2 linked regions of the Arabidopsis thaliana genome follow. The protein of the gene in region 1 interacts with the protein of each later gene in a biochemical or structural test. Each region holds a gene or a part of one and is shown in the gene's direction. Other genes may lie near its edges. The genes, in order: LRR XI-23 and PIP1A.

Region 1 (6,065 bases):
GAAAAAGAAGAGTCCACCGAGAAAAAGAGCCCTCAAACAAATTTGAACATGGCAATTATGGAGCGGCAGAATTTAATTATTAGTCCTATAGTCGATATATTATTGCATTACCTAATGTGTACACACACAATATAAGGTTGGTTAATTTGGTAATCAAACTAAAGATTTAGAATGAAAATTTCCTTTTAAAAAAATAGCCATTTGTTTTGTTTTAAGATAAGAGCTAAGACATATAACTACTTCCTAATTAACTTTGGAAAAAAGTATATTGTCGCAAGTTGCAACTCTTGTGCCATAAAAAGCAAGTGTTCAACACATGTTTATAGTGATGCCTCATCAACAGCTCAATTAAATTGAAACGTAAGTATAATACACAATCATCTACATATTTTTGCAGACATTTTAGCAAATAAATCGTAGAGTTGAACTTATTTACAACTCAATGTCATTAGCATTAAATCTTTTTTCCAAAATAATTCATTTTACTTTAAATTCTTAATTTAAATTGTCAATCACATTATCAATCAAATTTAATCCAAACAAACTTCCCATCAATCCTTTAAAATTAGCATAAACGTATTTGTTAACAATATTTAAAACAAAGTTTTTGTTTAAATAAATATTATTCTTACTAAACGTTTTTTGTTTAAATAAATAAATCCTGTATTTGAACTTATTTACAATTTCATGCTACTGGCATTAATTATTTAGGAATGAAAATATTTAATTAAAGATTTAAATCTTCTAAATCCTTGCTTTTAGATTTATTATGTCATTACCTAAAAGGCAAAAACTATTAGTTTTTTAAATATTATTATTTATATTTTAAATTTTTTTAACATTACTAATATTTAAACTTATAAAAAGTTTAATATATCAAAAAATCTTAACATCATTATATAATATATAGAGTTTTTAAAAATCTCAAATTTTTTTCCGTCATATTTTGTGATTCAAAATTTAAAAAATGAACATATATTAACCAATTGGCGAAAAATATGTGAGTTCAACGTCCCATTTTGACTAAAATATTTAGAGAATGATTCATAAACATATCATAAATAAGATCAACATTAACAAAATAAATGGTTTTTTTTTTTGCGGGACGAGTTTGGCAGGACGTTACTTAATAACAATTGTAAACTATAAAATAAAAATATTTTATAGATAGATATAATATATAAATTTTTATATATATTAACTTAAAAAAATAAATTGTCCTGCGGTATACTGCAGATTAAAATGTATATTAATACTTACGACGGACGTGTACAAAATATTATATAGCCCCAAAAATAGCGCTGCATATAAAAACCACATCTACCTAAGCCTACCATGTAGTGTAGTTGCATATAAGACAACTATAAATTAATAATGTAGTTTAATATTTTTTTTGGATTGGTTTCTTTGTTTTTGGTTAAGTTTTTTTTTCTTGGGGGTATAATGATTTTAGTTAAGTTTTGTTTAAGTTTCCTCAATGACAAAGGTACAATTTCGGCGTTACGTCTAGTCTAAAATAATCTATTAACAAAAGAATGTACTTAATTAGTCAATACTCTACTCAATAGTAGGATATCGTTTCAGTTTTGTATGTGGATTTTTTTTTAAATTTTTGAAAAATTCTATTCAATTTCAATAAAAAATTTCTGAGGATAGTCAATGAAAACCAAAAAAGCCATAATAATAATAATTATAAAGTAATATATCAAAACGCTCATATAATATTCCACATACATTTACTGTATAATCAGAAAACTAAATAGTATAGTTATCAAGGGTCCCTCTTAATAAAACCAATATTATTCAACTAAGATATACTTTATTTATTTGGAGATAATTTAATTTTCGTAAGCACCATATAAAAAAACAATGACGCAAATTATTATTTTGTTTATGTGATAAATAAAGAAATATAAAACGAGAGAAAACAAAAAGAGTGAGTGATAGTGATTACAAAGGTAAGCCAAAATTTGAATATTTAATGGATACCACCAGATAAGAAGAACTTTGCTTCAAAGCGGCAAAGCTTAAGCTTTTTTCTCGCGCCCGCCTCTCTCTCTCTCTCTCTCTCTCTCTCTCTCTCTCTCTCTCTCTCTTCTCCTCTAACCAAATTTCCCGATGTGAAAAAACAAGTTTCCGATCAACTCAAACCACCGTCACCACTTCTTCTCTCCGACATGGCTCCGTCGTTAAGGAATTTCAACTTCTTTCACCGCTTCTCCACCTTCCTCGTCTTCTCTCTATTCTCCGTCGTTTCTTCCGACGATCTCCAAGTCTTACTCAAGCTCAAATCATCATTCGCCGATTCCAATCTCGCCGTGTTCGATTCCTGGAAACTGAACTCCGGTATCGGTCCTTGTAGCTTCATCGGAGTAACCTGTAATTCTAGAGGCAACGTTACAGAGATTGATCTCTCTCGTCGAGGTTTATCTGGGAATTTTCCATTCGATTCGGTTTGTGAGATTCAGAGTCTCGAGAAACTCTCTCTCGGATTCAATTCACTATCTGGAATAATCCCCAGCGATTTGAAAAACTGCACGAGTTTGAAGTATTTGGATCTCGGCAACAATTTATTCTCCGGTGCTTTCCCTGAGTTCTCATCTTTAAATCAGTTACAGTTTCTGTATCTCAACAACAGCGCTTTTTCCGGCGTCTTTCCGTGGAAATCGCTCCGAAACGCAACGAGTCTCGTCGTTTTGAGCCTAGGCGATAATCCGTTTGATGCGACGGCTGATTTCCCGGTGGAGGTTGTTTCTCTGAAGAAACTCTCGTGGCTTTACTTGTCGAATTGCAGTATCGCCGGAAAAATTCCACCGGCGATTGGAGATTTGACGGAGCTTCGGAATTTGGAGATTTCCGATAGCGGATTAACCGGAGAGATTCCGTCGGAGATTTCGAAACTTACTAATCTCTGGCAGTTAGAGCTTTACAACAACTCCTTGACCGGAAAACTTCCTACCGGATTCGGAAACTTGAAGAATCTGACTTACTTGGACGCTTCAACAAATCTTCTACAAGGCGATTTATCGGAGCTTAGGTCTCTGACTAATCTCGTTTCACTACAAATGTTCGAAAACGAATTCTCCGGTGAGATTCCGCTGGAGTTTGGTGAATTCAAGGATCTCGTGAATCTCTCTCTGTATACAAACAAGTTAACCGGTTCTCTGCCTCAAGGACTCGGTTCACTTGCTGATTTTGATTTCATCGACGCATCAGAGAATCTCTTAACCGGACCGATCCCTCCAGATATGTGCAAGAACGGGAAGATGAAAGCTCTGCTTCTCCTGCAAAACAACCTCACTGGCTCTATCCCTGAGTCCTACGCTAACTGTTTGACTCTGCAACGGTTCAGAGTTAGCGAGAACAACCTCAACGGAACTGTTCCCGCGGGACTTTGGGGATTACCGAAGCTCGAGATCATCGATATAGAGATGAATAACTTCGAAGGTCCAATCACCGCGGATATAAAGAACGGTAAAATGCTCGGAGCGTTGTATCTAGGGTTCAACAAGTTGTCTGATGAGCTGCCTGAAGAGATAGGTGACACTGAATCTTTGACTAAGGTTGAGCTTAACAATAACCGGTTTACCGGGAAGATTCCTAGCTCCATTGGGAAACTCAAAGGACTTAGCAGTCTAAAGATGCAGAGCAATGGCTTCTCCGGTGAGATACCTGACTCGATTGGTTCGTGCTCGATGCTCAGCGATGTCAACATGGCTCAAAACTCGATATCCGGAGAAATCCCCCACACGCTTGGATCACTCCCGACGCTCAACGCTTTGAATCTTTCGGACAATAAGTTGTCTGGGAGAATCCCAGAGAGTTTGTCGTCTTTAAGGCTTAGCCTTCTTGATCTGTCTAACAACAGATTATCAGGTCGTATCCCTCTGAGTTTGTCATCATATAATGGTAGCTTCAATGGCAATCCTGGCCTCTGTAGCACGACGATCAAATCGTTTAACCGGTGCATAAATCCTTCGAGATCGCATGGAGACACTCGCGTGTTCGTGTTGTGTATAGTTTTCGGGTTACTGATCTTGCTAGCGTCTCTTGTGTTTTTCTTGTACCTGAAGAAAACAGAGAAGAAGGAGGGACGTTCGCTTAAACACGAATCTTGGAGTATAAAGTCATTCCGAAAGATGAGTTTCACTGAAGATGATATCATTGATTCAATCAAAGAAGAGAATTTGATTGGTAGAGGAGGTTGTGGGGATGTGTACAGAGTAGTACTTGGTGATGGTAAAGAAGTTGCGGTCAAACACATCCGGTGTAGTAGTACTCAGAAAAACTTCAGCAGTGCAATGCCGATTCTCACTGAACGGGAGGGAAGATCGAAAGAGTTTGAAACAGAGGTGCAAACGCTTAGTTCGATACGACACTTAAACGTGGTGAAACTCTATTGTAGCATCACGAGCGATGACTCGAGCTTGCTGGTGTACGAGTACTTGCCTAATGGAAGCTTATGGGACATGCTTCACTCTTGCAAGAAGTCGAATCTTGGTTGGGAAACACGGTATGATATAGCTCTTGGTGCAGCAAAAGGGCTTGAGTACTTGCATCATGGGTATGAGAGACCGGTGATTCACCGTGATGTTAAGTCCAGTAACATATTGCTAGATGAGTTCTTGAAACCTAGAATTGCGGATTTTGGTCTTGCCAAGATTCTTCAGGCCAGCAATGGCGGTCCAGAGTCCACGCATGTCGTTGCGGGAACCTATGGCTACATAGCTCCAGGTATATAAAGAGACTTAACTCTTATATCATCAGCTTGTTATGGCCTTACATTTTGAAATTACAATTTGACAGTAAAAAATATTGTTGCAGAGTATGGATATGCGTCAAAAGTGACTGAGAAATGCGATGTATATAGCTTCGGGGTCGTGTTGATGGAGCTAGTCACAGGGAAAAAACCGATAGAGGCAGAGTTTGGAGAGAGCAAAGACATAGTGAATTGGGTGAGCAACAATCTGAAGAGCAAAGAGAGTGTGATGGAGATTGTGGACAAGAAGATAGGAGAAATGTATAGAGAAGACGCGGTCAAGATGCTGAGGATTGCGATCATCTGCACCGCAAGACTTCCTGGACTAAGACCGACGATGAGGAGCGTGGTGCAGATGATCGAGGACGCGGAACCTTGCAGATTGATGGGGATTGTGATCAGCAAAGAGAGTGATGTCAAGGTCAAAGAAATAAGTTGATGATTGAGGGACCAAGTCACTCTTTTGGGGTCTGTTTTGTTCACAATGAAACTTAGGGAGATCGAGTAAAGTGGATCATCTAAATCTATTAAGACGTACGTAAGAGTTTAGATGGAGAGTGTTGTAATACTAGTACTCCGGGTTATGAAATCATAGGTGTTGTAACGATCTCATTGTAAACTATTTTCTTGTAATTGTAGAATTTTAAGGTTTTCAAATGTTCATGAAGGTCAACTACTAAATGAAATTTATGGTCCTTATATGCACCTATACTATTACTTTGCTAAGAAGTGTATATTCGACTGGGTAAAACAATGTCTATAAAACTTGCAATCAATCAGTTTTTAATCAGAGTTATATTTATTTCTGCGTGAGGATGATTTTATTATATTATTTGATTCAGAAAATTCTCAAAACGAAACCAAATTCAAATTGGATTCTTGGTGTGATGACATAGACCAATTATTATTATGATATCCTCTCCTGTGATTTCTAAAAGTTAGTCAAATCTACGTATGCTCAAAAACTTTTGTAGTTGCCCACTTTGACCAACTTAATAAAAGAAAGATGAAGAAATTTAGACACCTCATGGCCTTTTGGCTCCACTAATAAGAGATTCAAAGCTTCCTTTGTTGAGAATGCATTTATGTTTAAACTTTCATCTACTGATATTTACTGATTTAGCCAAAAAAAAAAAAGATACTATCAGAAAGAAGACAATAATGCTTAAGCGAAAATTGTATAATTCTTCATTCTTCACAAGCAGACAATACTGCTTCTCTGCATTGGTTCGAACAATAAACTTGTATTTTTTTTCTGAAAGAAGTCGGCAATTCTTAATATCTTCCTAAGCATAGGAATACATAT
Region 2 (4,847 bases), on another chromosome or scaffold:
TGCATGTCAGGATAATTTTCAAACTCAAAGATATGACTCCTTCCCTGTAATAATCAAAGACGAGGAAACTTCAGTGATACACCTATCAATATTTTTTAGCCTTGAGCAAAAAGGGCCGAGGAAAAACAACCTGCTTGCTGGTCAGATTGAGCCAAGGAGGTTTATTTGATCCTTCTTTGGTATATTTCTGACCTGAGAAATTTAACATGGCACAATAATCATTTAGAGAAATTATTCATGATAAATCTGAATGAACAATATGGATAATCAAACACTTACTTTTGATGTTGTGAGTCTGAACTTTAAGCTTCAAATCTGATTTAGGATCATTTGGGACAAAGAGCAGCATCACTTCACTCTGAGAACAAAAATTGGAAGATCCTTTGAGAAAAAAACCATTGAGTAAGGAAACAAAAATAGAAATCATATAGTGGCAAAGAGTTAAAGTATTCTTACTAATTCGAGGGATCCAAGAGTTCCTGGATCCTTCACAAAGCTCTTGTATTTGACTCGCTTCTCCATTGATATATGCCCAAGGTTCTAAAGCATGGTAAAATTGGTGGATTAAGTTTGTGAGCCGGAGGAGGTAAGGAGTGTCGACGGCGGAGGAAATATTTGAATCTGGCGGAGGAGAACGGCTAGCGTCGGCAGATCAGACAAAAATAGCTAAATAATTTGGGAATTTTGTTAATTTTAAGTTCGAGAGATAATGAGGTGGTTAGAACCACGTGTACGAGCCGTGATAGCTCATGTCTTGAGATGGTTCAACAGTTCACACCCGAAGTTGATGAGTCTCAAGAGCCACGTGTACGAGCCTTGTTTAACCGGGCCTGCGATCAATAGTAGTGTTGTTAGCTTAAGCCCGTATATGTATGGCCCATTTATTGTCTCGAGCTAAAAGTCGCAACTTTTTTTTATTGTTTTTTTTTAGTTTATTATAGGCAGACGATAACATTTGTCTTATTAATTTCATGTTAGGAGGACATTGGTAATTTTCGCTTGTTTTTTTGTGTTTGGTCAATGAATATTTTTTTTTTTTATGGAGCCGTGACGCAAATGGGGGTGGCTAGGTGGGGCAAATGCAATCATGAATAGCAGCCACAATAAAATTAATAAATTGATCGAGTACATATGTCATAAGATAAATGGTCGGTTTTGGATATGTAAGGCGCCGGCATTAGGTGGTATGACTCCACGTATCTTATCGTCGATGCATTGGACGGCTATTAAATAATCAGTCTCCAACATAAAAATTCCAAAATCACACTTCACACATTCTTTTATCATGTCATGAGGCTTAATGGGTCGGTCTTTTTTTTTAGTGGCTAGTGATTTTAGCTGATGTTTCAACATTTTGGTTTTAAGTGTTTCTATTTTGCAGCTTAAATATACATATAAAAATAATAATTTAAAGATTGAAGGTCCTCAAATCGTGTAAATGTGGATTTTTAGTTTGAGAAAGTATCTCACATGAGCCTTTTTTATCATTAATTACTTAATTACAGTGTCAAAATGATTGATAAGGAGTTGGAAAATACTAGGTGGTAATCAAGATGGCCCTTGGATGCTACAAGAGCGTAGGGCCATAGGGCCCATTCCAGAACAATATAGCAACCACTAAGCATGTTTTTGTTTTCTTTAACATTGTCTTTTCTATTTGGCAATTAGTACACTACTTACGTTTTGTGGTAGGAACAAATAATTTGTAATCTTGGCACAAACCAGTGCTTTGTAACTTTGATGATAGAAAAAATTTATTCACTAGTTCGATAACGATTATCAATCATCATAAATAAAAAAAGTTAGTTTAGACGATCATGAAGAGAGAAAAAACAGAATTATTGGTACTATCTCTTAATTTCCCAACTCTGTAGGTACACTCATTAATCATTATGGAGAATGTCATAGTCATGGTACATAATGAATGTGCATGGTGCTTATGGTACAGATGTTCTTAACTTCTTATCCTGGCTGGCAAACGCCAGATCATCTCAACTGGAGGATCATGTTTTGTTCGTAACAGTTAGTAACTAACCAAATTAGTGACAATCATGAGGGATTATTAAAAACAGACATTGATCTATTTTTGATTAGAAAACATTACTGATAAAACTACAAAAATAGCTGGAATGGAGCATTCAAAACTCTGTCCAAAGTCCAAACGGTTAAATTATCACTGACCCAATCCAATAATTAGATTTATTTAGTAAGTATGATTACTACGAAGATAACATTAACAAAATTTTATGTTATTGTCAATTTGTCATCATCGTCTTTATTTTTTATTTCTCAACTTTCTTTGCATTACATCTTCCAACTATATAATTAACCACTCTACTTTCTCAAATCCCACACTCAGAGAAGAAGAAGAAGAAAAAAAACAGAGCTTTACAATTTCTCTCTACAGAGATCGAAGATATGGAAGGCAAGGAAGAAGACGTTAGAGTTGGAGCTAACAAGTTCCCGGAGAGACAACCAATCGGAACATCAGCTCAGAGTGACAAGGACTACAAGGAACCACCACCAGCTCCGTTTTTCGAACCTGGTGAGCTTTCTTCATGGTCTTTTTGGAGAGCTGGGATCGCTGAGTTCATCGCTACTTTTCTCTTTCTCTACATCACTGTCTTGACTGTTATGGGAGTGAAAAGGTCACCGAACATGTGTGCTTCCGTCGGAATCCAAGGAATCGCTTGGGCTTTCGGTGGTATGATATTTGCCTTAGTCTACTGTACCGCTGGTATCTCCGGTAAGTCACTCTACTTCTCCAAGTATACGCCTTTTTACTGTAATTAGGTTTCCGAGTGTTTGGGTTGTGAAAGAAGACGATAAAGCTATAATCTTGAGAAAATTGTGTTTAGATTTATAGCTTCTTAGCCTGAACTTGTTCCATTTGTATCTGATTCAAGAAATCTCAGAAAGCTACAATCTTGGTGGAATTTGCAGTTTTCTAATATGAATTGTGTCCTTTAGCCTAATCTTGGAATGTATTTTTTTTATATGTAACTCTCAGGTGGACACATCAACCCAGCGGTTACTTTTGGTCTGTTCTTAGCCCGGAAGCTGTCGCTTACTAGAGCTCTGTACTACATAGTGATGCAGTGCTTGGGAGCTATCTGTGGTGCTGGAGTGGTTAAAGGGTTCCAGCCTAAGCAATACCAGGCTCTAGGAGGAGGAGCTAACACTGTGGCTCATGGTTACACCAAGGGAAGTGGTCTTGGAGCTGAGATCATTGGCACATTCGTTCTTGTATACACAGTCTTCTCAGCAACTGACGCCAAGAGAAATGCTCGTGACTCTCATGTCCCTGTAAGTTACCACTCCTTGTAACATATCTGCTAATAGCTTCTTGAAACAATTGAAATGAGTGAACTTTTAAGCTGCCTTTAGTGTGACTCTCATGTCCCCGTAAGTAACCAGTCCATGTAACAATTGCTAGAAACAATTGAAATGAGTGAACTTGAAGCTGCCATTAGTGTGCACTAAAGACTGATTCTCAATATTGGATTTGTTGCTTACCGGCTTGAGTTTTGTAATAATTGTGCAGATTCTTGCACCACTCCCAATCGGGTTTGCGGTTTTCTTGGTTCACTTGGCAACCATCCCAATCACTGGCACAGGCATCAACCCAGCTAGAAGCCTTGGAGCTGCAATCATCTACAACAAAGACCATTCCTGGGATGACCACGTGAGTTTCCACACACTATATACCAAATCGCATTCCAAACTCGGTTTCGAGCATTTTTCCCTGACAATTTCGTTTTTTTTTGTCGTCATTCCAGTGGGTGTTTTGGGTTGGCCCCTTCATTGGAGCTGCACTTGCTGCTCTTTACCATGTGGTTGTCATCAGAGCCATCCCCTTCAAGTCCAGAAGCTAAGTAAAAACAAGACATCAAGTCCTCTGGTTTCTGGCCTTGTCCTTAGTTGCTTCTATAGTTCTATTGTTGATCTACTACATGTATGTGTGCAATGTGTTTATCTATGTGCCCTCTTAATGCAATATTTGTAAACAAGGAAGAAGTTCCAAAGGAGAATTATTTGCAAATTATGATGTTTAACATGTTTATTACAGATCAAAGATGTTTAACATGGATATTGGTAAACGAGAACCTATATAAACCCAAATTAAGATGGTCTATCACCGCTTAACCGGTTAGGTATTGTAATGGTATTTTAAACGTGTCAGTGTCACCAACCTCGCCTAAATCCTAATGGAATTGAGACACAGCCACCAAAAACCATCAGAAAAATGGTTCCATTTGTCAAATACTTTTCAACAAAGCACGAAGATTCCTTGACCGATAGAAAAAAGTAAACTGTATAAGAAAAGAAGTTAAAAATTTACTAGAAACAGGTGTAAGAAGTTGACTGTAAGTTTGATCATTCCACGAGTACGAATAAAACTCTGACAAGAACACTTCACTTACCACAAATCCACAATTACTTTTCTCACATAGTTCCAACAAGCAACTTGTATTATTATATTCTTAACACCAATGGTAATGGATGATGATGCAATGTATTTGTCTCGTTTTCTCATCCATTTATATGATTGCTTTCTTCTCCACCTCACCAATCACTCCTCCTCTAAACTTTTCTTCACTCTCTTGTCTCTTCAAACTTCGGTTACTCCGTTTTAGTCGACAACAATGGCCTCTGTTTCAAGGAGGTTACTGAGGAGAGAGACGATCCCCTGTTTCAGCCACACCGTGAGGAAACTCTTCTCCACCGTTGGATCTCCTTCTTTTGCTCAGAGACTCAGAGATCTCCCCAAAGACTTCCCCTCTACCAACGCCAAACGTGACGCCTCTCTGGTAAAAGAACGAACAAAAAAGAAACCGTTTTTTTTA

Evidence for each region.
Region 2: the proteins of LRR XI-23 (region 1) and PIP1A interact in a test that uses a peptide from one of them, tested with the Arabidopsis thaliana proteins (one study listed by BioGRID).

The regions. Positions count from the first base shown.
Region 1 is NC_003070.9:3,250,231-3,256,295, forward strand, and holds LRR XI-23 (Leucine-rich receptor-like protein kinase family protein), read left to right. Parts: upstream 1-2,086; 5' UTR 2,087-2,177; coding exon 2,178-4,734; intron 4,735-4,821; coding exon 4,822-5,198; 3' UTR 5,199-5,424; downstream 5,425-6,065.
Region 2 is NC_003074.8:22,731,239-22,736,085, forward strand, and holds PIP1A (plasma membrane intrinsic protein 1A), read left to right. Parts: upstream 1-2,004; 5' UTR 2,005-2,418; coding exon 2,419-2,746; intron 2,747-3,010; coding exon 3,011-3,306; intron 3,307-3,544; coding exon 3,545-3,685; intron 3,686-3,779; coding exon 3,780-3,875; 3' UTR 3,876-4,156; downstream 4,157-4,847. Other genes in the region: AT3G61420 (BSD domain (BTF2-like transcription factors, Synapse-associated proteins and DOS2-like proteins)), read right to left, coding at 1-44, 131-192, 280-358, 457-522; CYSC1 (cysteine synthase C1), read left to right, coding at 4,647-4,811. UniProt on the Arabidopsis thaliana protein: Water channel required to facilitate the transport of water across cell membrane. Its function is impaired by Hg(2+).